6 linked regions of the Callithrix jacchus genome follow. The protein of the gene in region 1 purifies or fractionates together with the protein of each later gene. This does not show direct contact. Links are inferred from orthologs where the notes say so. Each region holds a gene or a part of one and is shown on either strand. Other genes may lie near its edges.

Evidence for each region. Proteins that work in one complex are often made in the same cells at the same time.
Region 2: the proteins of COPG2 (region 1) and COPA fractionate together in Homo sapiens (co-fractionation; 4 studies listed by BioGRID and IntAct, with this or other methods). This does not show direct contact. The link is inferred for Callithrix jacchus from reciprocal best matches to the Homo sapiens genes COPG2 and COPA.
Region 3: the proteins of COPG2 (region 1) and COPB2 fractionate together in Homo sapiens (co-fractionation; 4 studies listed by BioGRID and IntAct, with this or other methods). This does not show direct contact. The link is inferred for Callithrix jacchus from reciprocal best matches to the Homo sapiens genes COPG2 and COPB2.
Region 4: the proteins of COPG2 (region 1) and COPZ1 fractionate together in Homo sapiens (co-fractionation; 5 studies listed by BioGRID and IntAct, with this or other methods). This does not show direct contact. The link is inferred for Callithrix jacchus from reciprocal best matches to the Homo sapiens genes COPG2 and COPZ1.
Region 5: the proteins of COPG2 (region 1) and COPB1 purify together in Homo sapiens (affinity purification with western blotting; 4 studies listed by BioGRID and IntAct, with this or other methods). This does not show direct contact. The link is inferred for Callithrix jacchus from reciprocal best matches to the Homo sapiens genes COPG2 and COPB1.
Region 6: the proteins of COPG2 (region 1) and NUDCD1 purify together in Homo sapiens (co-immunoprecipitation; 3 studies listed by BioGRID and IntAct, with this or other methods). This does not show direct contact. The link is inferred for Callithrix jacchus from reciprocal best matches to the Homo sapiens genes COPG2 and NUDCD1.

The regions. Positions count from the first base shown.
Region 1 is NC_133512.1:116,571,333-116,575,272, forward strand, and holds the start of COPG2 (coatomer subunit gamma-2), read left to right. Parts: upstream 1-1,140; 5' UTR 1,141-1,194; coding exon 1,195-1,231; intron 1,232-1,412; exon of another isoform or gene 1,413-1,605; intron 1,606-2,277; coding exon 2,278-2,330; intron 2,331-2,873; coding exon 2,874-2,954; intron 2,955-3,940. Other genes in the region: TSGA13 (testis-specific gene 13 protein), read left to right, coding at 676-845. UniProt on the Homo sapiens protein: The coatomer is a cytosolic protein complex that binds to dilysine motifs and reversibly associates with Golgi non-clathrin-coated vesicles, which further mediate biosynthetic protein transport from the ER, via the Golgi up to the trans Golgi network.
Region 2 is NC_133519.1:20,256,403-20,259,902, reverse strand, and holds part of COPA (coatomer subunit alpha), read left to right. Parts: intron 1-1,191; coding exon 1,192-1,267; intron 1,268-3,078; coding exon 3,079-3,161; intron 3,162-3,500. UniProt on the Homo sapiens protein: The coatomer is a cytosolic protein complex that binds to dilysine motifs and reversibly associates with Golgi non-clathrin-coated vesicles, which further mediate biosynthetic protein transport from the ER, via the Golgi up to the trans Golgi network.
Region 3 is NC_133518.1:45,030,737-45,034,236, forward strand, and holds part of COPB2 (coatomer subunit beta'), read left to right. Parts: coding exon 1-131; intron 132-978; coding exon 979-1,078; intron 1,079-1,727; coding exon 1,728-1,870; intron 1,871-2,419; coding exon 2,420-2,619; intron 2,620-3,500. UniProt on the Homo sapiens protein: The coatomer is a cytosolic protein complex that binds to dilysine motifs and reversibly associates with Golgi non-clathrin-coated vesicles, which further mediate biosynthetic protein transport from the ER, via the Golgi up to the trans Golgi network.
Region 4 is NC_133510.1:65,209,546-65,213,045, reverse strand, and holds part of COPZ1 (coatomer subunit zeta-1), read left to right. Parts: intron 1-570; coding exon 571-639; intron 640-2,557; coding exon 2,558-2,639; intron 2,640-3,500. UniProt on the Homo sapiens protein: The coatomer is a cytosolic protein complex that binds to dilysine motifs and reversibly associates with Golgi non-clathrin-coated vesicles, which further mediate biosynthetic protein transport from the ER, via the Golgi up to the trans Golgi network.
Region 5 is NC_133511.1:80,328,740-80,332,239, reverse strand, and holds part of COPB1 (coatomer subunit beta), read left to right. Parts: intron 1-34; coding exon 35-179; intron 180-891; coding exon 892-1,011; intron 1,012-3,500. UniProt on the Homo sapiens protein: The coatomer is a cytosolic protein complex that binds to dilysine motifs and reversibly associates with Golgi non-clathrin-coated vesicles, which further mediate biosynthetic protein transport from the ER, via the Golgi up to the trans Golgi network.
Region 6 is NC_133517.1:87,735,612-87,739,111, reverse strand, and holds part of NUDCD1 (nudC domain-containing protein 1), read right to left. Parts: intron 641-3,500; coding exon 460-640; intron 1-459.

The DNA of each region.
Region 1 (3,940 bases):
TTCCTTCAAGGAAAACGCCACCTATGAAGTATGACTTGAACTTTATAAGCCACATAAAGCAAACATAATAGTTAATAGTACATTTAGTCAAGTCAGAGTTAAATCTTAAATGATACCATATGCAGGATATCAACAGTTCATCCTAAACCTATATTTAAGGGAAATATTTTTTCTAGGATGTAGACTGTAATCTAAGTTAGAATTTCTCTAATTTTGCAGGGGCACGAACCTGTTGAATATAGACCTAATTTACATTTCTAAACAGTAATGCCATTGAAGCCAAAGGCAGGCAGTTTCTTAGCCACACTCTTAGACAAGAGAACAGAAAGCCGGATACACTCTGAGAAAAAGAGGAACATGAATTACAAATGAATGCACGCTAACTCAGCAAGAGTTAATCTTAAGTGTCAATATGGTTTCAGATGGAATCATTGAAAGAAGCAGGATTGAACAAGGGCTCTAAACTGGCAGTGTGTTTTACAATGGATTTTGATAAAATGAAGGAATCCAAAATCATAAAGTAGGTAGGGAGTGGTAGTCCACAGTCCAAAATCTACCCTCTTTTAAAGACCAGCCTCTGGTCCCTCCAAGTGGTCTCCTTCACGTCTCACACTAAGCATCCTTCGAGTACTTTTGAAAAGCCACATTCACCAGAGTGCCTGTGCTTTGTCGTAGCTTCCAAGAAGTTAGCGAGTGAAAGGCTGATTTCCAAGGCGATTCGGGAACCACTGACACTCGCATCGCTCCTGGAAGAGATGCCCACCAGAACCGCGCCCGGGGAGGGCGCCTTCCGCAACGGGAGGGCTCCGCTGTGCATGATCAAAAAGGCCACGGTCACCGGGTGAACACAGACCCCTCAGGCCTCCCGCCTCGCTCTTCTGAGACTGAAGGGTCCGCATGAAAGTCGCCAATGAAATAAAACCACATTCCTGCTGCCGCCGGCGTGGGCTCCCGGGTCGTTGGCCAGGCGGATCGCGCCGAAGCCTTGGCCAGGCCGTGCATGGAGGAGAGGGGGTGGCTGCGTCCCGAGGGAGCCGAGGGCGGCAGGGGAGGGCGGGCCTTGGCCCCGAGTGACGGCGCGGCGGCCCAACCGGCGTGAGAGCGCGGGGCCGGCCTTCCTGCAGCCTCTTCCGCTCGCCCGCTGCGGTGCCTGGGACGGTTGCGGTGGGTCTGGGCGCTGGGAAGTCGTCCAAGATGATTAAAAAATTCGACAAGAAGGACGAGGAGTCTGGTACGCGCGGGGCTTCCGAGGCCTACCCTCAGTCGCGGGCGCCCCATCCCCCGCCCGCCCGCCACCACCTGCTTTCGGGCCGGCGGGGCTGGGGGCGTGGGCTGTGCCAGGGGGCCGGAGCTGGAGCCAGCCCCTCCCCTCCCCTCGCGGCCGCCCGGGGCCTGCCCGTAGCCCCTCCCCCGGGCGCCAGAGCCTTCTTTCCGGCCGCGCGCTCTCGCCCCGGCGCCCGCGCGCGCCCCGACCCCGCCCCTCCCGCGGCGCAGCCCCCTCGGACCCGCCTCCGCCCCTGCGCGCGTCTCCGCGGCAAGGGGTGCGGTAGGGTCTGACCCCGAGTGGGAGAACCCTGTTCCCGGGGCTGGGGTCGACGGCATAGGGTGTGTGTGGAGGAACATTCAGGTTCCTGCTACCTTATAGTTTTCCTGGGGCCCCTGGCTCTGTCCGGTTCCCAGGGGGCGAGACTGTCCCGTGGGACACAGCTTGATGAATCTCAGGCGTCCATAAGTGACCTGCGTCTTGATACCCATCTTTGGTACAGAGCAAATGAGGGAGATGCCAAGCATCCTCAAAAAGAAAAAATTCTCAATATTTGGTAGCAACTCCCATAGTGTGAGACAGGGTTGGGTTAGTCAACCTCCACCGCCCCTTGCAGCTTTACGTCTGCATGATTCTCTGGGAAACTTCGTTTCTGCATCTCAAGTGCTAGAAACACAAAATAGTGCCTAAGGAAATCAAAAGCACCCTACCACAATCTCATTAATCTTCGTTGTCGTGGAAATGACACATTTTTAACATTGATGGAAAAAGAGGGCAGGGAAAGAAGACACTCATTTTGGAGAGGGTTGCTGCAAAAGAAGTCCCTGCTCTTCAAGTATGGCAGTGACAGAGCCAGGATCAAAGTGATTTCATTCAGTTCGTATGCATAGTGGCAATGATTATCACTGTGATATCCCAGTGGTCACCTCCCAAGCATTCAATACCCTTCTCTGGAAAGTATATACGTTTGTGTAGGACAGCTGCTATTCAAACATGTTTTGTTTTATAAATAGGTAGTGGCTCCAACCCTTTCCAGCATCTGGAGAAGAGTGCTGTTTTACAGGAGGTATGACTGGGAAGTATCTTGTGCTCTTTTTTTTCTATTCTGTTTTAGAGTGGTGGGCAGAGAATTCCTGGGCTGCTATGATCACAATATCCAAAATAAGGAACGTAACAGAGGTTAGAGAATACAGATTTGAGGGAAAAGGAAGAGAGGTTACTTGTCACAGAAGAGTCTAGAGCTTGTAGAAATGCAAAGGCATGAAGGCTTTACCACAGGTTGGGAATTTTATGTAAGAAAAGGTGTTTAGTGCAAAGTTATTGAAATCAGTTATCTATAGCTCATTGTGTTAGTATGATATAGATAAGTATTGTGATCCTTATTTAATTTGTATAACCCATAAAGTTGAAGTAGTCTTCCTAATGGAATGAGTTAGAAAGTATAGGATGGACAATCAAGGCCACATTTAATAATTTATCAGATACTTTAGTAAATTGAGAACTATACTCAATATTATTTGGACACTGTGATTAGAAACTATTAAAGTTGATTTGCTATAATCTATGATAGACAAGGTAGGAAAATAAAAATTTCTTGTTTTTTTCATAGGCTCGTATATTCAATGAAACTCCCATCAATCCAAGAAGATGTTTGCATATTCTTACAAAGATTCTTTACTTACTGAACCAGGTAAATTATTTTTTATTTTCCTCAGATAAGTGTGTCCTGGAATAGAAATGCTGAAGATGCAAAGAAATGCTTTCTGGAAAGTATAATTATTTATTTAAATTCACTTAATTTTAACATATACAATGTTTGGTTAAAAAATATGTAAAACTTAGCATGAGGACTATGACATAAACTGGTTGACTCTATCTTATTTGCAATGCTTAGAACCAGAAGTGTTTTGGATTCCAGATTTTTTTTGATTTTGGAATATTTGCAGAATACATACTCATTGAATATTCCTAATCTAAATATTTGAAATCTAGAATGCTCCAATGAGAGTCTTCACTGAGTGTCATATTGGGACTTGAAAAGTTTCTGATTTTGGAGCATTTCAGATTTTGGATTTTGAGATTAGGGATGTTTAACCTGTACTTCTTTCTTATTCATGAGGTCCTAAACCAGTGATGCACATAGTAGATTCTCAATAAATCCTTTGGGTTGAATTTAATGAGTACTAGTTAAAACAAGTTGTTTTAGACTTTAAAAAACTTCATGAAATGTCTAGGGCCTTAGAAAATATGATTTTGTTTCATGGATTCATGTTCCCTCAGTATCAGTGGGGAATTGGTTCCAGGACCTGCATTGGATTCTAAAATCCATAGATGCCCAAGTCCCTCATACGAATGGTGTAGTATTTGCATATAACCACATATCCTCCCATATATTTTAAGTCATCTGTAGATTATAATACCTGGCACAATGTTAGTGCTGTGTAAATAGTTTTTGTGCTGTACTGTTTAGGAAATAATGACAAGAAAAAACTGTCTGTACATGTTCAGTAGAAACACAGTTTGTTTTATTTTCTTGAATATTTTCAATCCGAGGCTGGTTGAATCCACAGATTCAGAACCCGTGGTTATGGAGGGCTAACTGTATAGGTCTATACACATACACATGGACACATAACACATACATATATACCACATACCTCAGGTGGTTTACATATG
Region 2 (3,500 bases), on another chromosome or scaffold:
CTGACACAGTGATCACTTAGAGACTCAAATCAGGTAGGTTTCAGTTGTCATAAACATTGAGCATTTGTGAACTGCCTATCTTTCATGAAGCTGAACTTAATGGAGCATCAGGATGAATGGAGCATCAGGACCCAGATCACTAGAAATAATTTGAGAGAATGTTTAGACTCTTTACATCCTATGGAAAGAAAATGGTTACCTTGATCCCTTCCTCTGAGTGAAAATAGAAGAACTTGGCCAGGGCGCGGTGGCTCAAGCCTGTAATCCCAGCACTTTCGGAGGCCGAGGCGGGTGGATCACGAGGTCAAGAGATTGAGACCATCCTGGTCAACATGGTGAAACCCCGTCTCTACTAAAAATACAAAAAATTAGCTGGGCGTGGTGGCACATGCCTGTAATCCCAGCTACTCAGGAGGCTGAGGCAAGAGAATTGCCTGAACTCAGGAGGTGGAGGTTGTGGTGAGCCGAGATTGTGCCACTGCACTCCAGCCTGGGTAGCAAGAGCGAAACTCCGTCTCAAAAAAAAAACAGAAAATAGAAGAACTGTGATTTTGAGAAGGAGTTCGTTTCATCATCAAAGAGTCCTCTCTGTTTCTTGTAACAGAATTTGGGGGAAAAAAAAGGAAATGACATTCTAATTTTAGTACCCTGGTGGCCAAGTTAAAAGGATTGAAGTTGTATGTCTTTCCTCATATAACTATATTATCCAATCTGTTCTTCTTTAATACTTAGCAGTCCATATTCTGACAGTTTTCTCTGGTTTTTTCTTTTTCTTCTTTTTCCAATAAATAGTTGTATTCCTATAGTGTCTTTTCTTTGATGTCTTTTTTTTTCTTTCCAGCAGTTGAGTACTCAGTTGATGGGTACTCAGGGTGGGGCGCCAGAATATCAGGGTCCTAGACTGTTTATTTATGGATTAGAGAGCAATTCTTACTTTCATTCAAATAATACCTGCATCTTTGGAAGAAAAAGAAAATAAAGTGACATCAGTGTCTAGTTGTTTGGCAAAGAGCCCTATAATTCTTAGATGTAGAAACAGTCAAATAAATGCCCTCTGGGTGAAGAGTAAGAAAAGTATGGTTTCAGATTGCAGTCTGTGCATTGGGTCTGTTTTCTCTGTCAGAGTAAACTGGAAAACTGGTGTCTTGGGTCCTTCTCACTAACATTTTAATTTCCCCTTTTCCTCTACAGAGAGCCAGCAATTTGGAGAATAGTACCTATGACCTGTACACCATCCCTAAGGATGCTGACTCCCAGAATCCTGATGGTAGGTATTCTTTTTGTCTACCCCACTCTGCTTCCAGCTCTCTTCACCCACATCATCTCTCCTCTTCAAGTTTTTCACATTCCATCCCCAAGCCATGGCCACATCACTCATGTCTGTTGGCAGGTGCTGCTGACAATTGCATCAGAGGCGACCATGGTGTGAAATATTCATGTTCCTCCACCATTTTATTACCCCAGCTAGATATATATATTTTATAATTTGGTTATTAGAAACTCTCCATTTTCTCTTTCAGCACAGCATGTTATCCTAGTTTATTGTCAGTTGATATGACTTTCACCCTGGTAGTTTCATTTATTTAAAAATGTGGTTCCAATCTTACAATGTCTCACCCAGGGACTAGGGATTTATACTCCCCCATCCATATCCAGATTCGATCTGCTTCCTTTTGCATGTCAAAAAGATGAGGCTGCTAACAGCCCCACACCCCACCTGGGATCCCAGGATCCAGCTGAGACTCCTGCCTGCCTCTTCCATCACCACCATCCCTTGTTGCTGTCCTTGTGACTAGAACTTGCTGACAAAACATTCTCGGAATGGATTTGATTATTGTCTAGGCGCCTTTCCGTGCACTTCCTCCAGCAGGTTTATGGCTAGTACCAGGTCAAAGATTTATTCTGCAGATCCTTACTCTTACCAGCATACTTTCATAGTTTAGATGCCATCAGCAGATTCCTGAGAAATAATTTGTTAGCTCTTTTTCTTTTGTGGGTGCCTCTGGGTTATCATTGTTGCTAATCGATTTCCTCTCTTTTAAATGTGTTAATAGTGAGAGAAAGAAAACATATTTGTATTTGGTATTTATAAGTCAAATTCTTCCTTATAAGTCAGTTAAGCCATTTCTGACTAAATCTTATGATTTGGTACCTCTCAACTCAGCCCTTTGCTTTTTTTCCCCATCTATGTTTACAATTAATAGAATTTAAAATATTTTGTTTTATTACCACTTTTATTTTCTGTACTTCATTTTTTGAGAAAGGTGGGCAACAGAGATGGGCTTGAATGTTGCAGTTTCCTGGCCCCTGGAAAATGGGAGTGTTGGCTTTGATAATAATTAGTTTTGTAAATTGCCTACCATTCCAGATGCCAGGGGCGAGACTGGCCAGTATGTTTTGTCCAGTCTTCTGCTGGTGTCATACGTAAATGAGTATTTTGATGCACCCTTCTATTTATCCTTCTACAAGTTTCCCAGATAATGGAGTGTCCATTTCAAAATTCTAATAAGCCACTGAACTGAGGAACATTTTGTAACTCTCTTCAGGGTGATAAGAATGTTCAGTTGACATTTACAGAGCAACAGCTTTGTTCTAAATACTGCCCAGCACCAAGCTCTCTTGTCAAGATTGAGTTGGGAGTGCTCTGCCCCACCCTGCCCTACTAGGAAGTCTACATTTGCATGTTAAAAGCAGCCGAGCAGCTGCATCCTGGGGAGGGGGTCCTATGACACAGGCTCGCTTTGCCGCAGCTTGGCCAGGGAGGCTCTGCTCGTTAGCTTGATGTAGCGTGCTGTCTCCCAAGATGGGCGGCCCTTCTGCCAGTACATGATGTTGGCTGAAATGCAGCCACTTGGCCTAGAGAAAAGAGCCTTGGCAGAAGTGGTGGTTGTTTGGAGGGGACTGGTGGGGAAAAGTCACTCAACAATAGCCCCAGGTTATGGCTGAATTCGTTAGGAAGGAGCTCAACTGGCAAAGCCAAGATGGCATCCAGCAAGACTGGCAGCTCCGTGGCATCCGACTATGTCACCTGCCAGTGACTCACCACATGCTCCCACCCTTTGGTTTTGTTCTTCTCAGCCCCTGAAGGGAAACGATCCTCAGGCCTGACAGCCGTTTGGGTCGCTCGAAATCGATTTGCTGTCCTAGATCGGATGCATTCGGTGAGTTAAGACTAAAAGCAGAAACTAATTTGAGGGTGTGGTGGCAATGGCCTGTGTATTGCAGAATAAAGACCACTGTTTTTTCTGCTCTCCCCTAGGCAGCCATGATTCTCATGCATTGGCTATACTTTTGTCTCTAGCCCTACATACACTAAGCCCTCTTGGGGGAAAGGGATTAAAACTGATTTGATTGTGTTGATGATCGCTGTGGCTCTGGGTTTAAGAATGAAGCTAAAGTCACTCTTGCCTATAGGAGCCCAGAATGCATCAAATCTGAAGTGAGTGGGCTGGATGAGGAGATCTCCCTCCTTGTTCTGCTGCCTCCATTGTTACTTGAAA
Region 3 (3,500 bases), on another chromosome or scaffold:
CTTCGTCACCAAACTTCACTCTGGAAGGACATGAGAAAGGCGTCAATTGCATTGATTACTACAGTGGTGGGGACAAACCATACCTCATTTCAGGTGCAGATGACCGTCTTGTTAAAATATGGGATTATCAGGTACAATTTTTCATAACCTCCTATATGTTAGATATGTCTCTTACTACTTCTTATAGGACAGTTAAGACTTGGGTTGTTGAAATCTGTTCACAGCATAATAACTTAAAGTATCAGTATTTGCACCTAAACTATGTTCCCAGATTTCTCCATAAAAATGAAAACAATGCATATCAAGATTTTAAAAATAAAATATCAGCATGTTCATATTTCATTTCATAACAGCATTTAGAAATTTTAACATTTTAATGTTGAATTTTCCTCCATAATCTTCATTCTTATTTGTAAGCCAGCAGATCAACAAATACCAATCATTTTGCCACATAGAACTCTTGTAAACCTAGTTATAACTCTTAACATGCTTCCTATCCCTAAGATTTTCTTATATTTTGATATTTTTTTCACAACAAAAGTTCTCATAAGCAATTAATAAAATGAGGCCTAGAAAGTCAGTTTTACCTTGAAATATTTTCAAATTTGTACTTATTCAGAATAAAAATATTAAATGCTAAAGCAGTACAGTCTAATTAGCCAGTGATAGTTGGTGTGAGTTTTAAGGGGAAAATCCATTATCCTGAGAATTTGGGGGAATAATATTCAGATGAAAGCCTGCTTGGTTTTTTCCCCCCTATTTAAATATGATAGTTATATTTACATTTATTTTATAAAATAATTAGATAAAATATATGTAAAACAAGATCATCCTATTTCAAAAATATCTGTATTGGATATTATTTAGATTGTCATAACTAATTACCATCATTTATAATGTATCTACACATTGAGAAATTTAAGGTTGGTCTGGTTACATGGTTTTCACTAATAAATGTTTTCTATTTCTTAATTACAGAATAAAACATGTGTGCAGACATTGGAAGGACATGCCCAAAATGTGTCTTGTGCCAGCTTTCATCCTGAGTTGCCAATTATTATTACAGGTTCAGAAGATGGTAAGTTAGAAGGGTATGTTTATTCCCTGTGTTGCTAACTACTGAGTGGGCATTTAAAGCAAGTAATGTCTCTGCATTGTAATTGGAGATTTCCAAGGATTTTGATTGAAGTACTAGACTTAAGCTATAAACAAAAGAGTAAAGGGACATTATTTTCATTAGCATCATTATTACCATTCTCATGTATTTTGATTTTGTCACTTAAATAAGAGGACCATCAGATGTCCTAGAGAAAAATTGAAAAAGCATGTGCTTTGGAGTCAAACAAACCTGTCAGGCTGTTACTTCATGAATGTGTGGTTTGGGCAAATTATGAAATGGAAACACATATATCCACTTCATAGGATTATAGTGAGAAGAAATCATGTGTAGAAAGCATCTGGCACATAGGAAATACTCTACCCAGAAAATCCGGTTATTATTTCATGTTTAAAATTGTAAGTCTTAGGTTTTGTTTCTTATATGTTGTCTGTTGTTAGTTTATGTTGCTTTTTAAAATCATTTAAAGACAGGAGATCAAAAAATTGGTCGTTAAACTGCCGGGAAGTGTTATCTTTTTGAATAGAAAGACTTCCATGGGTGTCTTACCTGACACAGTTTATTGTCAGATGTTTGTATCAAAAGGGAATATTTACATTGTTCTTTTTAGGAACAGTACGTATTTGGCATTCAAGCACCTACCGGCTAGAGAGCACACTGAATTATGGAATGGAGAGGGTATGGTGCGTGGCCAGTCTAAGAGGGTCCAACAATGTCGCTTTGGGCTATGATGAAGGGAGCATCATTGTTAAGGTAATTAAACTATCCCTCTCAGTAGGTGGGCATAGGCAAAGACATTTTCTTTGTATTTTAATATTGTCATCTTCCAATTCACCAGTTTTGTAAAACTGGCACTTCTTTGATTAAGCACTAGACATTAAGCAATGAAGATTTAAAGTGGAAGAAAGGAAATAGAGCTCTCTGTGAGGTGAAAAATAATCTGTTTTATTATGGTTTTATTCATTTTTCTTTTCTTTTTTTTTTTTTTTTTGAGACAGGGTCTTGCTCTGTCACTAGGCTGGAGTGCAGTGGTGCAATCTTGGCTTGTTGCAGACTCTGCCTCCTCGGTTCAAGCGATTCTCCTGCCTCAGCCTCCCAAGTTGCTGGGGACTACTACACCCAGCTAATTTTTGTAATTTTAGTAGAGATGGGGTTTCACCGTGTTGGCCAGGATGGTCTTGATCTCTTGACCTCGTGATCCTCCCGTCTTGGCCTCCGAAAGTGCTGTGATTACAGGCGTGAACCACTGTGCCTGGCTTCATTTTCCTTTTCATTGCTGAGAGCTATTTGTCTTTCTTTCAGCTTGGTCGGGAGGAACCTGCAATGTCCATGGATGCCAATGGAAAGATAATTTGGGCCAAGCATTCAGAAGTCCAGCAGGCCAACCTAAAGGCAATGGGAGATGCTGAAATTAAAGATGGAGAAAGATTGCCACTGGCAGTAAAGGATATGGGCAGTTGTGAAATATACCCTCAGACTATTCAGCACAATCCTAATGGGCGGTAAGCCATCACCAAAATTTGTCTCTCAGCTTCTGTGTATGTTAGAACAGGTTTGCAGATCCACAGTCCACTCTTAACTTGTGGTTGGCATCTCTGATCATTCCTCTGTGTGCTTTTGCCCTGGCCCCACAATTCTCAGCACAGCTATAGGTAGCCATGCTAGTCGAACAAGTTGGCATGAAAGATAGAGCATGTTTGCCCTCCTGGCCTTGTTCTATACCACACAATTTTGAATAGTTAAATAGTACTATTTACTGTTATTTCACATGCATTGAGTTTGTGTTCTTGTGTGCTCCTTTGAGGGCAAGGAGTATGTCTTATGCTGAGACTTGGTAGGTGCCCTCTCTAAATGCTTGCTGACTTACTGCTCTTAAGAAGAAAACCTGACTCTGAGATGTGTGTCTTTTGAAAAAGTTTTGCGATTGGTAATAATTCTGTTTCTTATGTGTAATTTGAACTGTTAGTTGAACTTCTCCCTTAAGATTTGTAAGTCACCAAACATCTGGTGAGAGAAGAGTTTCTAGCACAGTTAAGTCTAAACCTGTGGAGCTTTAAATATTATTTTACAATAGATCTGGGCATCTTGTAATGCTGTCCTGAGTATTGAAAAAGACAAAAGATAAAACCAAGTATGCCGCCTAGTTCAGTAAATGGTATTCATAATTATTTGTAACATAATAGTCTTATGAAGGTTAAGAATGCATTAGGAGTATTTCCCTTAATATCGTAAAACATTCTTTGCCATAAGTTTTGCCTTTGGCAGTCTTTTGATACCAGCCTTTACAGTGTTATAAATAACTTTAAAGAGAGTTGTTTTAAAGCCATTGGGAAAATTTTAGTTGACTATGCAGCATTGTGTTGTTTTTTTTTTTTTTTTTTGA
Region 4 (3,500 bases), on another chromosome or scaffold:
ATGCCTCTCTGCGTGTGTGTGTGTGTGTGTGTGTGTGTGTATGTAAATGCTCTTTTCCCTCTGCTCAGTGTGTGGGTTGTTTAGGGAAGGCTTGCTTTATGCTTCTGCATTGCTACTGCATTTGGACTGCAGAAACTTCCAAGTATACTAGGACATACAACCCTATTTTGAAATGGCCTTGTTCAGTGCCTTTTAATTAATCTGGTCACATTCTGTAGCCACCTGTGCATGGGAGAGCAGGAAGGGAGAGGGTAATTTGGAAAATAACTGTACCATAATATTTGGAAATAACAGCATGACCTCTCTTGATTAAGCCCCCTATGAGGCAGAGAAACTGTTTCTCTGATGATACTTTGGAATCCTTTGTTGAAATGTTTTCTCTATCAATTCAGTTTACTTACTCTGGGTCTTTCTCAATGGGAAATATCAAAATCTGACCATGTTGAGGTAAGGGACTTACAGAGGTACCTCTGTATCCCCTTGCAGCCCCAGTGGGATTAGGGGAAGTTATCTGGTTTACCAGTGGTAGTGGGAGCCTTTAGGACTGAAGGTATGTTCATATCTCTTCAGGAACCTTCCCTGTATACTGTCAAAGCCATCCTGATTCTGGACAATGATGGAGATCGACTTTTTGCCAAGGTGAGATTCCCTTTCGAATTAGTTTAGGAACAGCACAAAGTCTTATTCTGAGATTTGAATCTTGGGACTGATCCCCTATTAATTCATGTACCTCAGTAGTATAATTTTGAGAATTCTTTCTTTTTTTTTTGAGACAGAGTCTTGCTCTGTCACCCAGACTGGAGTGCAGTATTACCATCTTGACTTACTGTAACCTCTGCTTCCCAGGTTCAAGCGATTCTCCCACCTCAGCCTCCTGAGTAGCTGGGATTATAGGCGAGTGCCACCATGCCCGGCTAATTTTTTGGTATTTTTAGTAGAGACGGGTTTCACCATGTTGGTCAGGCTGGTCTTAAACTCCTGACCTTGTGGTCTGCCCCCCTCAGCCTCCCAAAGTGCTGGGATTACAGGCAAGAGCCACGGTGCCCGCCTTTTTTTTTTTTTGAGACGGAGTTTTGCTCTTATTGCCCAGGCTGGAGTGCAATGGCATGATTTCAGCTCACTGCAACCTCTGCCTCCCGGGTTCAAGTGATTCTCCTGCCTCAGCCTCCTGAGTAGCTGAGATTACAGGTGCCTGCCACCATGCCCATCTAATTTTTCTATTTTTAGTAGAGACAGGGTTTCACCATGTTGGCCAGGGTAGTTTCGAACTCCTGACCTCAGGCCATCCTGCCCACCTCAGCCTCTCAAAGTGCTGGCATTACAGGCTTGAGCCACTGGGCCTGGCCTGAATTCTTCCATCCTTTCTTGCCTACTCCAGATAAAACCCGAGTTTTCTTTTGTCCCTTAGTTGTACTGCTCCCCTGCTTGCTGTCCTCAGACTTTGACCTCCATTGTTGTCAGCATCAAATTAGGGAAAAGCTTTGAAACTTTGGTTCCTAACAAAGCAGTATGTAGATGCTAAGAGGCAGCCTGCTCATGTCCATCATTCCTGTCCCCTTCCCTTCTACCTTGTCACCCTGCCTGGGTTTTTCCGGAGAATTCTCTTGCAGTCCCAAGGTTCCAGTCCTAGGTCTATAGTCACCATCAAGCTTGTTACCTCCTGACTTTCCCAGAGTGATGTTTCCAACTTTGGATCTGTTGGAAGGAAGAAGAAAGGACACCCCTCTCCTCTCCCTCCATATTCTCCCCCTCCTGTAGACATTCTTTCTGTCCCTGGTGTATTAACTCTGGGCAAGCATAGCATAAATCAATCAGCAGGTAGAGATTAGTTTAGAATTCACCAGCTGTTCCTCCCTGTAATTGGATGTAACTATGCAGGACACCTTTTGAAACAGTTATCCAGTTCCTAAATGCCAGACCTGTCATAGGTCTTCAGCTGACTGCGACGGATTAGCCCCTAAAGAGCTAGCAATTTAGCAGCCTGGATCTCAGCCCCCTTGCCAGGGAGAGCCTGGGAATGGGCTCTGTTGTATGCTGGATGGTTCTTTCAGCTTGCAGAAAAGAAAGCTAAGATAGACCATAGGGCAAGGTTTGCCTTTCTTTGGAGGAGGTTTTTGTAGCCTTTCTCCATTCCTCAGCTTCATACAGTGAGTGAGGGTCTAAGGAAGTGTTCTGTGCTTCTGGTGTTTTTTGTGTTCTCTGGCACTGCTCCCTGCCATGCAGTAGCTCCTGGGAAACACTTGATGAGAATACCCTTAGGAGAGCTCTAGACTGCACACAGGCACAGAGCCTCACCGTAGGGCTGGTAGGCTTCTGCCCTCAGACAGTCTTAAACATGTGAGGAGGGTTGCTTATGGCAGGGTCTTTTATGTATTTTCTTAGATTACTCACTACCCATTCTCTGCCTCTATAGTCCTTCCTTTTCCATGTCAGTATTTCTCCCTTGCCCCATGCCTTGAAAGAGAGAAATCCAAGATCCCAGGGCAAAATATAGTCACTAATCATTCTGAGCTTCCAGCTCTAGTGACCCAACCCTGTCTCCTTTCCCTCTGACCAGTACTATGACGACACCTACCCCAGTGTCAAGGAGCAAAAGGCCTTTGAGAAGAACATTTTCAACAAGACCCATCGGACTGACAGTAGGTCATTTTCCTTTCACTACTCCTCATGTTGGGGGGAACCATGGTGGGAAGCGGGTGGTAGCAGGGCTGCAGAGAAAGGATGAAATGACTCTGCCTCCTTTTCCTTTTTTTTCTTCCTCCCCTTGTATAATAAACTCTTCAGAAATGTAATGGGGAGGTGAGTGTACCTCACGCGGGAATACCGTGCTGGAAGGTTGGCTGTTAGCTACCTGTCTAGTTCCTGGATTTATGAGCCTCACTTGACAAATTTAACTGCAGCTCTGCTTATTGTACCGCATCCATTAGGGCAGGTAAATGGAAGTCTGTAAAGGTGACCGCTCTGCATTTTCACCTCCGAAGGATCGACTGGTATCCTGTCTCACATACAACAAGGAGGGAAATAGGTATAGTGGGCAGGAGCAGAGGATGATGGTTAGAGAAGATACATTAGACTCCCCCAAGTTTATACTTCTCTTCTCCTGCCATCACCCAAAAAGTGCAGATCATCTATCTTTGGAGGTCATTATAGTCGATTACAGTCAGCCTCACCTTAGCCCAAAACAGCTGGATACTAGGCATTCATGGGAACTCTTTTTTTTTTTTGAGACGGAGTCTGTCTCTCTCTCTCTCACCCAGACTGGAGTGCAGTGGCTCACTGCAACCTCTGCCTCCCAAGTTCAGTCGATTCTCCCATGTCAGCCTCTCAAGTAGCAGGGATTACAGGTGCATGTCACCATGCTGGCTAATTTTTGTGTTTTTAATAGAGATGGGGTTTCATCATATTGCCCAGGCTGGTCTTGAACTCCTGACCTCAGGTGATCTGCCCACCTCAACCTCCCAAAGTGTTGGGATTACAGGCATGTGCCACCACGCCTGGCT
Region 5 (3,500 bases), on another chromosome or scaffold:
TCATTTGATTATGTCTTTATTTTTGTTTTGACAGGTCACCCAGTTGACAGGTTTCTCAGATCCTGTATATGCAGAAGCTTACGTTCATGTCAACCAATATGATATTGTCCTGGATGTACTTGTTGTGAACCAAACCAGTGATACTTTGCAGAATTGCACATTAGAATTAGCTACACTAGGTGAGGAAATTTACCATTGAGGAAAGATGTTGTCACATAGTACATCTTTATGACAGATTAGGGGAGGTGCACAGGTTTCAGTATAAAAATTCTTTCTTGAACCTTTATTGACATTTTGAACCAAGGCTTAGTTTTTCATTACCATTTAGTTTCCTTCAACTCCAGTTTTTTGAACCTCTGTCATACTGACTTTCTTATGCTCTTGGCACATTCAGATGGATTCATTTAATAAGCTTAAACTAGCGAATGTCAGTCTTTCTAGACATAATTAGAGCTATTTAAGTCACAGATTGAGCAGGTGGCTCACTTAAATTTCTGATTGCCTCATTACAAAACTAAGTATTTTCTGAATGCATAACTGTTAGATACCACATGTGACCAAAGTAATAAATCATATCACATTTAGCAACATGAGATGTATTTTTTTTTTCTTAATAAAGGCATGTGAATCAGACTGCTCACTTCCACATCTGGTTTTGAAGTTGGAAAATGTAAATTGTATGTGAGAACAGTGCAGTGCCCCCATCAAATTTCATATGGCTTATGCAAGAGTTAAGGAACTTCAAGATATCAAGGGGAAAACAAGAAACTGTTAAGCTACATACATTTTAAGGTTTTATGGGTGTGTGTGTGTAGAAAAAAAATACATCTCATGTTGCTAAATGTGATATATGTATATATATTTTAACCGTATCCAAACTCTTTCTTTTAGGGGATCTGAAACTTGTGGAAAAGCCATCTCCTTTGACTCTTGCTCCTCATGATTTCGCAAATATTAAAGCTAATGTCAAAGTAGCATCAACAGAAAATGGAATAATTTTTGGTAATATAGGTAAGGTGCTGTTTCATGGCATGTAATGTGTGAATATTTTTACTAAAGAATTTCTATAGTGACTAGCTGGGGACGTTGTATGAGGACATTTATTCTTAATTTATGAGGCACTCTCTATGGTACCAGGCATTGTAGTATGTTCTGGATGTACAAAAATGAACCAGTTAGGGTCACTGTCCTCAAGAAACTGTCAGGCAAAAGGAGATGGGTAAGGAAATATATAATTATAGTCCAATGTGATACAGGATGGTTTATATACTGTATGCTTTGAGGTGAAGAAAAAACAATGCTAACAGCATGGAAGGCTTTCTAAAGGAAGATGCTATGTTATCAAAGGGTAATATTTTACCTGAGTCATTTGTTACTAGGCGCACAAGGGCATTTCCGACCTAGGGATTAGCTTGTATAGAGTCATTCAGTCAATAAGCTTATTTTGTTGCAATTTCTGTCATAAGGATAGGGCTGCCATGGTGAGGAAAAAATGATAGATTGTGTTCGTGTAAGGGAAAGCTGATATATAAAATAGATACGTGCAATAAGTAATGGTAAGTGCTATGAAAAAAAAAAGCCTGTACTAAGTAAGGTAGGAATCTGTAAAGGGATTTGGTCAATTGTCAGAGTGTTGGGGATTGGGGAAAAAGGTTAGAAAAAGATTTCTTGGAGGAGCTAGTGCTCAGTAGAACACTACACATAGACGATGATGCAATTAGAACAAATGCAAGTGATTCGATATACTTGGAGTTTAGAATGGGTTGGAGAATGGTGGCAAGAAAAAAATGAAGTTAGGAAGGTTAGCAGGATAACTAACCTTCCTATTTTATTTGTCATGCTAAGGATTTCAGACTTTATCATTGAGCCAATTATAAATGAGTGGCTTATAACATTATATCTTTCTATGACAGTACTATAGAAGATTGATTGGAAGAGGCAGGAATATTAACTAGTAGACTATTACAGAAGCCCAAGTGAGAGATGCAAGAGGACTTGAGCCAACCCAGTAGTGGAATGGAGAGAAGGATGAATATTTTGTTAAGGGTATGGTTAGTGGTGGAACAAGTGGCTGGAGTAACCCTCAGATTTCCAGATTGAGTTTTTTGGGTTGTTTATGTCATTACCAAAACAGGTTATACAGGAGAGAAGAACAAACTTTAGAAAGACATAATAGGTTAAATTTTGAGCAGGTTCAGTATTCAAGGGCAGTTTGATGTGAGTCTGGGACTCAAAGAAGAGGTCTAAATGAGAGACAGACCAGGCGCGGTTACTCACATCTGTAATCTCAGCACTTTGGGAGACCGGGGGGGGGGATTACCTGAGGTCAGGAGTTCGAGATCAGCCTGGCCAACATGGCAAAACCCTGTCTCTACTAAAAATATAAAATTAGTTGGGCATGGTGGTGCACACCTGTAGTCCCAGCTACTTGGGAGGCTGAGGCAGGTGAATAGCTTGAACCGGGAGGCAGAGGTTGCAGCGAGCTGAGATCGCATCATTGCACTCCAGCCTGGATGACAGAGCAAGGCTCTGTCTCATTGTTTAAAAGCCACAGGAATAGAAGAAATCACCCACAGAGGGCATAAAGACTAAAAAGAGGGGAGATCTGAAAACAGAATCCAAGCAAACAGCAGTACTGAAAGCTTGGTCAGAGGAGAAAGAGCCTACAAAGATATCTGAAGTATGGTTAGAAAAGTAAGGAAAAACCTTCAGGAAGTATTTGAAGCTGCACAGGATCAAATAACTAGTTAATAAAGTCTGAAAGAGAGGTCTTTTGGATTTGGCTATTAGGGATTTTAAAACGTTTATTGTGGGACATCTTGAGCATTGGTGGTAGGTCGAAGACTAAATAGGAGATGAAGAAATAAAGGTAGTGTAGACTATTCTGAGTGTAGGAACTTGGCTTTTTTTTATTGAGATGGAGTTTCACTCTTGTTACCCAGGCTGGAGTGCAATGGCACGATCTCGGCTCACTGCAACCTCCGCCTCCTGGGTTCAGACAATTCTCCTGCCTCAGCCTCCTGAGTAGCTGGGATTACAGGCACACGCCACCATGCCCAGCTAATTTTTGTATTTTTTGTAGAGATGGGGTTTCACCATGTTGACCAGGATGGTCTCGATCTCTTGATCTCGTCTTCCACCCGCCTCGGCCTCCCGAAGTGCTGGGATTACAGGCTTGAGCCACCACACCCGGCCAGAAATTTAGCTTTAATTAGGAATAGAAAAGGGTAGTACCAAGAAGAGAAGGCAAGAATGGGTGAGGATTTATTTTTTGAAGATAAGGACAAGCTTGAGTATATTTGTAGACTATAAGGGAAGAAAGTTGGTAGAGAATGGGAAGGTAAAGATGTAAAAATGAAAGAGATAATGATTGGAATGGGGTCCTGGACCAAAGCAAGGATCACAGATGGCAGAAAGTATTAATCTTCTTCTTTTTTTTTTTTTTTTTTTTTTTTTTAATAAGAGTTTAAATCAGATATTTTCTCAGGAAAGTTAAAAGT
Region 6 (3,500 bases), on another chromosome or scaffold:
AGATTTAAAAGAAATCATACTTGTAATTTAATAAAATAAACATATTAATTTCCAAGTACGTATTTATATTTACATTTAAATAATACTATAATTTATTAATTTACATTTAGTTTTAGTGTAAACTATACTATAAATTTTTGTGTATTATACATATAAATGCATATATTTTTGAATGCATTAAAAATATGCCTGTTAAATTATTCAAAACTTATATAACAATGTCTTTTTTTTTTTATACAAAAGGCATAATTGGTTGTGGAAGCACACTGCAATTTTTTTCTATTAATGATACCTGAAGAAAAATAATCTATACATATTCATTCCACCAGTGGTGGCAGGTGCCAGAATTGTAACACAATGCCTAAGAAAAAGCAAACAGCATTTATAGGGACAGCTTTGCATTTCAACATCTACTAAATAATGGCAACCAATAGAAAGAGTTTCAGAATTTTGTTTTACCTTTATTTTTGTTACTAATAGTGACCCACTCCAGAGAAACATAGAAACCACTTCCTTTCATATCCAATTCCTCTTTCTCTATTCGAAGAAGTAGGATAGCTATAGAATGTTCTTCAGCATTTAGCAATGAGATACTATGAATTATGATAAAAGGATTCCCAAGTTCTTCATTAAACATAATCTATAAAACAAAATGACACATACACAAAAGTGTACATAATTACATGAACACAGATAGCACAGAGGGAATACATAGGATTCTGGCAATCCAACAATTATTCTGGAGACTATTTATTACAAGAAATTTTTTAAAAAAAACCTTTACCTACAAACTGCAAATTTAGATAATGTTCCTTGAGGACAGAACTTTAAAGAAAATATTTATTTGTACAACAACAACAAAAAAAGCTGATCAGTAGTCTTGGCTAAAAACAGAGAAAACAGGGCATCCAAACAGCATCTAAAGGAGAAAGCAAACTAAAGGTAATCTCCTATAAGAAAGAAATTATCAAGCGAAAAAAGTTTACTACACAAAAAGAGGAGGCAAGGGCAGGTCAGTGTTCATTCCTCCAATCTGTTCTCCTGTCTCTTACATGATTTATTTCTACTTGCTTCCTCTCAGTTTCTGGATATTTTATATGAGTGTGCATGTGTGTATGCCTTTTTCCTACTGTTTTTTGTTTGTTTATTCTCTGGAAGTTTACAAAGTTAAGAGTCAAAAATATTGAAGAATAAAGCACCAAAACATTTATTTTCTCAAAAACAAAAGAAACCTATTAGCATTTAAGAATAAGTTAACAAACTCTATTTAAAATATAATCCTAAAGTGTTTTTTCAAAAGCAAAAAAGCATCACACAAAAACACACAAAATCTTATCAAATTCTTTCTTATGCCACAAACAAGATCTCAACAACTGTTATATTTTTAAGAGTAAATACAAAATAGAGAAGGTTTTAAGGCTGTTTCCTAAACAAGATTTCCAAATAAAATATGGATAGGAGACAAAAAGCCTAACTGAAAAAAAGGTAGCTCTTTAAAAAACAAAAAAAAACCCAATACCTGAAATCTCCACATATCTGCTCCTACTTGGAAATCTTACAGAGAAAAGTGTGCTTTAATGTCATCAGCTTTCCTGTACTTGAACATCTGCCAAAATCATTCAAGTAGTAGGCCTTCAGAATCCATTCTAAAGATTTCCATAAACAGAAAAAGCAAAAATTGAAAAAATATTCCTTAAATATGCAAAACAGAGATGACAGATAAAGACAGGTTTTTATTGGTTTACTGGGTTTTGCTTTTGTTTGGGAACAGTGGAAACAAAAAAAGGAAGAACAGACAATGACAAGTTTTGGCAGGTACAAGTAGCTAGTTTATTGTTTCTTTCTTTCTTTTCTTTCTTGTATGAGTGAAAGGAACTGGAAAGAAACCAAAGGAGTAGACTGCATACTTTTAAAAACTGTTAGGCTAAAGTTTCTAGTTTTCTGAACAAGCCCAGCATCTAAATTGTGATACTGTAGATACATAGCACTTCCATGGTGTTAGAGGCAACACATTTGGAAAGCAGGCTGTCTCCTGTAATTTCACTTTTTACATTTCAGTAATCACCACCACCACCTTTGGCCTCCTTTCCCCCCACCATGCTCTGTAATCTCTTCCACTTTTAGCTTCTTCTCTGTTACACCAATTCCCCTAAAGTCCTAAAGCCCTCCTGAATTTTTTTGTAAAGAGACCAATATTCCACAGTATCTCTCCTATCTAAATTAATGCCCATGTCTCCTCCCTCTCTCACAAGTACCTAGTCAAAACTATTATTAACTGAAAACATCTCTGAAGGATGCTTGTTTACTCAGAATACTCAAGAAGGCACAAGGTAGATTTAAGTTTCTAACTGATTAAAAAGATATTGAAGGCCTAATACGTGCCAAGGGGATACACAAAACAAAACCAAAAAATATAAACCCATATGAATCTCCTTCCAGTGGAATGTGTGGTATTATTAAGATGAAAGTGAGCCAGGTAGGTATGTCCTGTTCAAAATCTACAGAATCCATACAGCTCAATACCAGATAAATTCCCACTCCTCTATCTCCTGCCCATCATTCTCAAAATACCTTCCAACTGTTTCAGGTCGCTGTGCTACATACCACATTACTTCTGTTTTTCAGAAAAATAAAAGTTATTACTAGAGACCAGAACAGAAATTGGCACAGTATCCAATGAATATTTGAATCTGTGAATGCAACAGGCTCTTGAAAACAGGCTACTGCTCTTCTGGTTATTTACTGTGTATTTTGGTAGTATAACATTTAGGGAAACTTAGTAAGATAGGTAAATTTGGTAAGATACTATATACTATATTTAGCAAATATAGTAAAATACTATAATTTGGTAGTATAACATTTAGGGAAACTTAGTAAGATAGGTAAACCATTTGATTCTAAGACTTCCCTGTTTTTTTCCAAGTAATTAAAGCCTGGTCTTTGCAGGCATCTGCTGGTCAAATGAAATTATTTTATAAGATGTAAATATGTTGAGCTCATCTCTTTATTTATCCAGAACTAAAGGCTACCTGCTTAGGTTCAGACAGTAGCAATATTATAATACACTTGTTAGTGTAATTCAAAGGAGCTGAAGCAGTAAATCTTTTGATTATCTGCTTGGCATCATTTTCTTTTACTTTCAAAAACTGTAGTTCTAAAGAAAGTAATTCCTTATTTATTACTATTAAAACCTAACCTATCCATCAGATTCATATCTATTTTTTTAAATTAAAGTAAAAATGTTGTCTTGGAGATTGGCATGTAACTACATATTTATATCATGTATTTTTCTAAGTAGAGAATATTCTGGTAATTTGATCAATGTAAACATCCCAGGAAATCTAACCTAACAGTAGAGGAGAAAAACATCCTAATGTAAGCTTTTGGTCAACTCTTCTTCAACAAGGAGGAGGCAATGTCAATGCTTAGTGAAGTGCTCTACAGATATAAAATATCTGCTGAAAAATGAATGCAATTCTTGACAACTGCATTGACTCCAG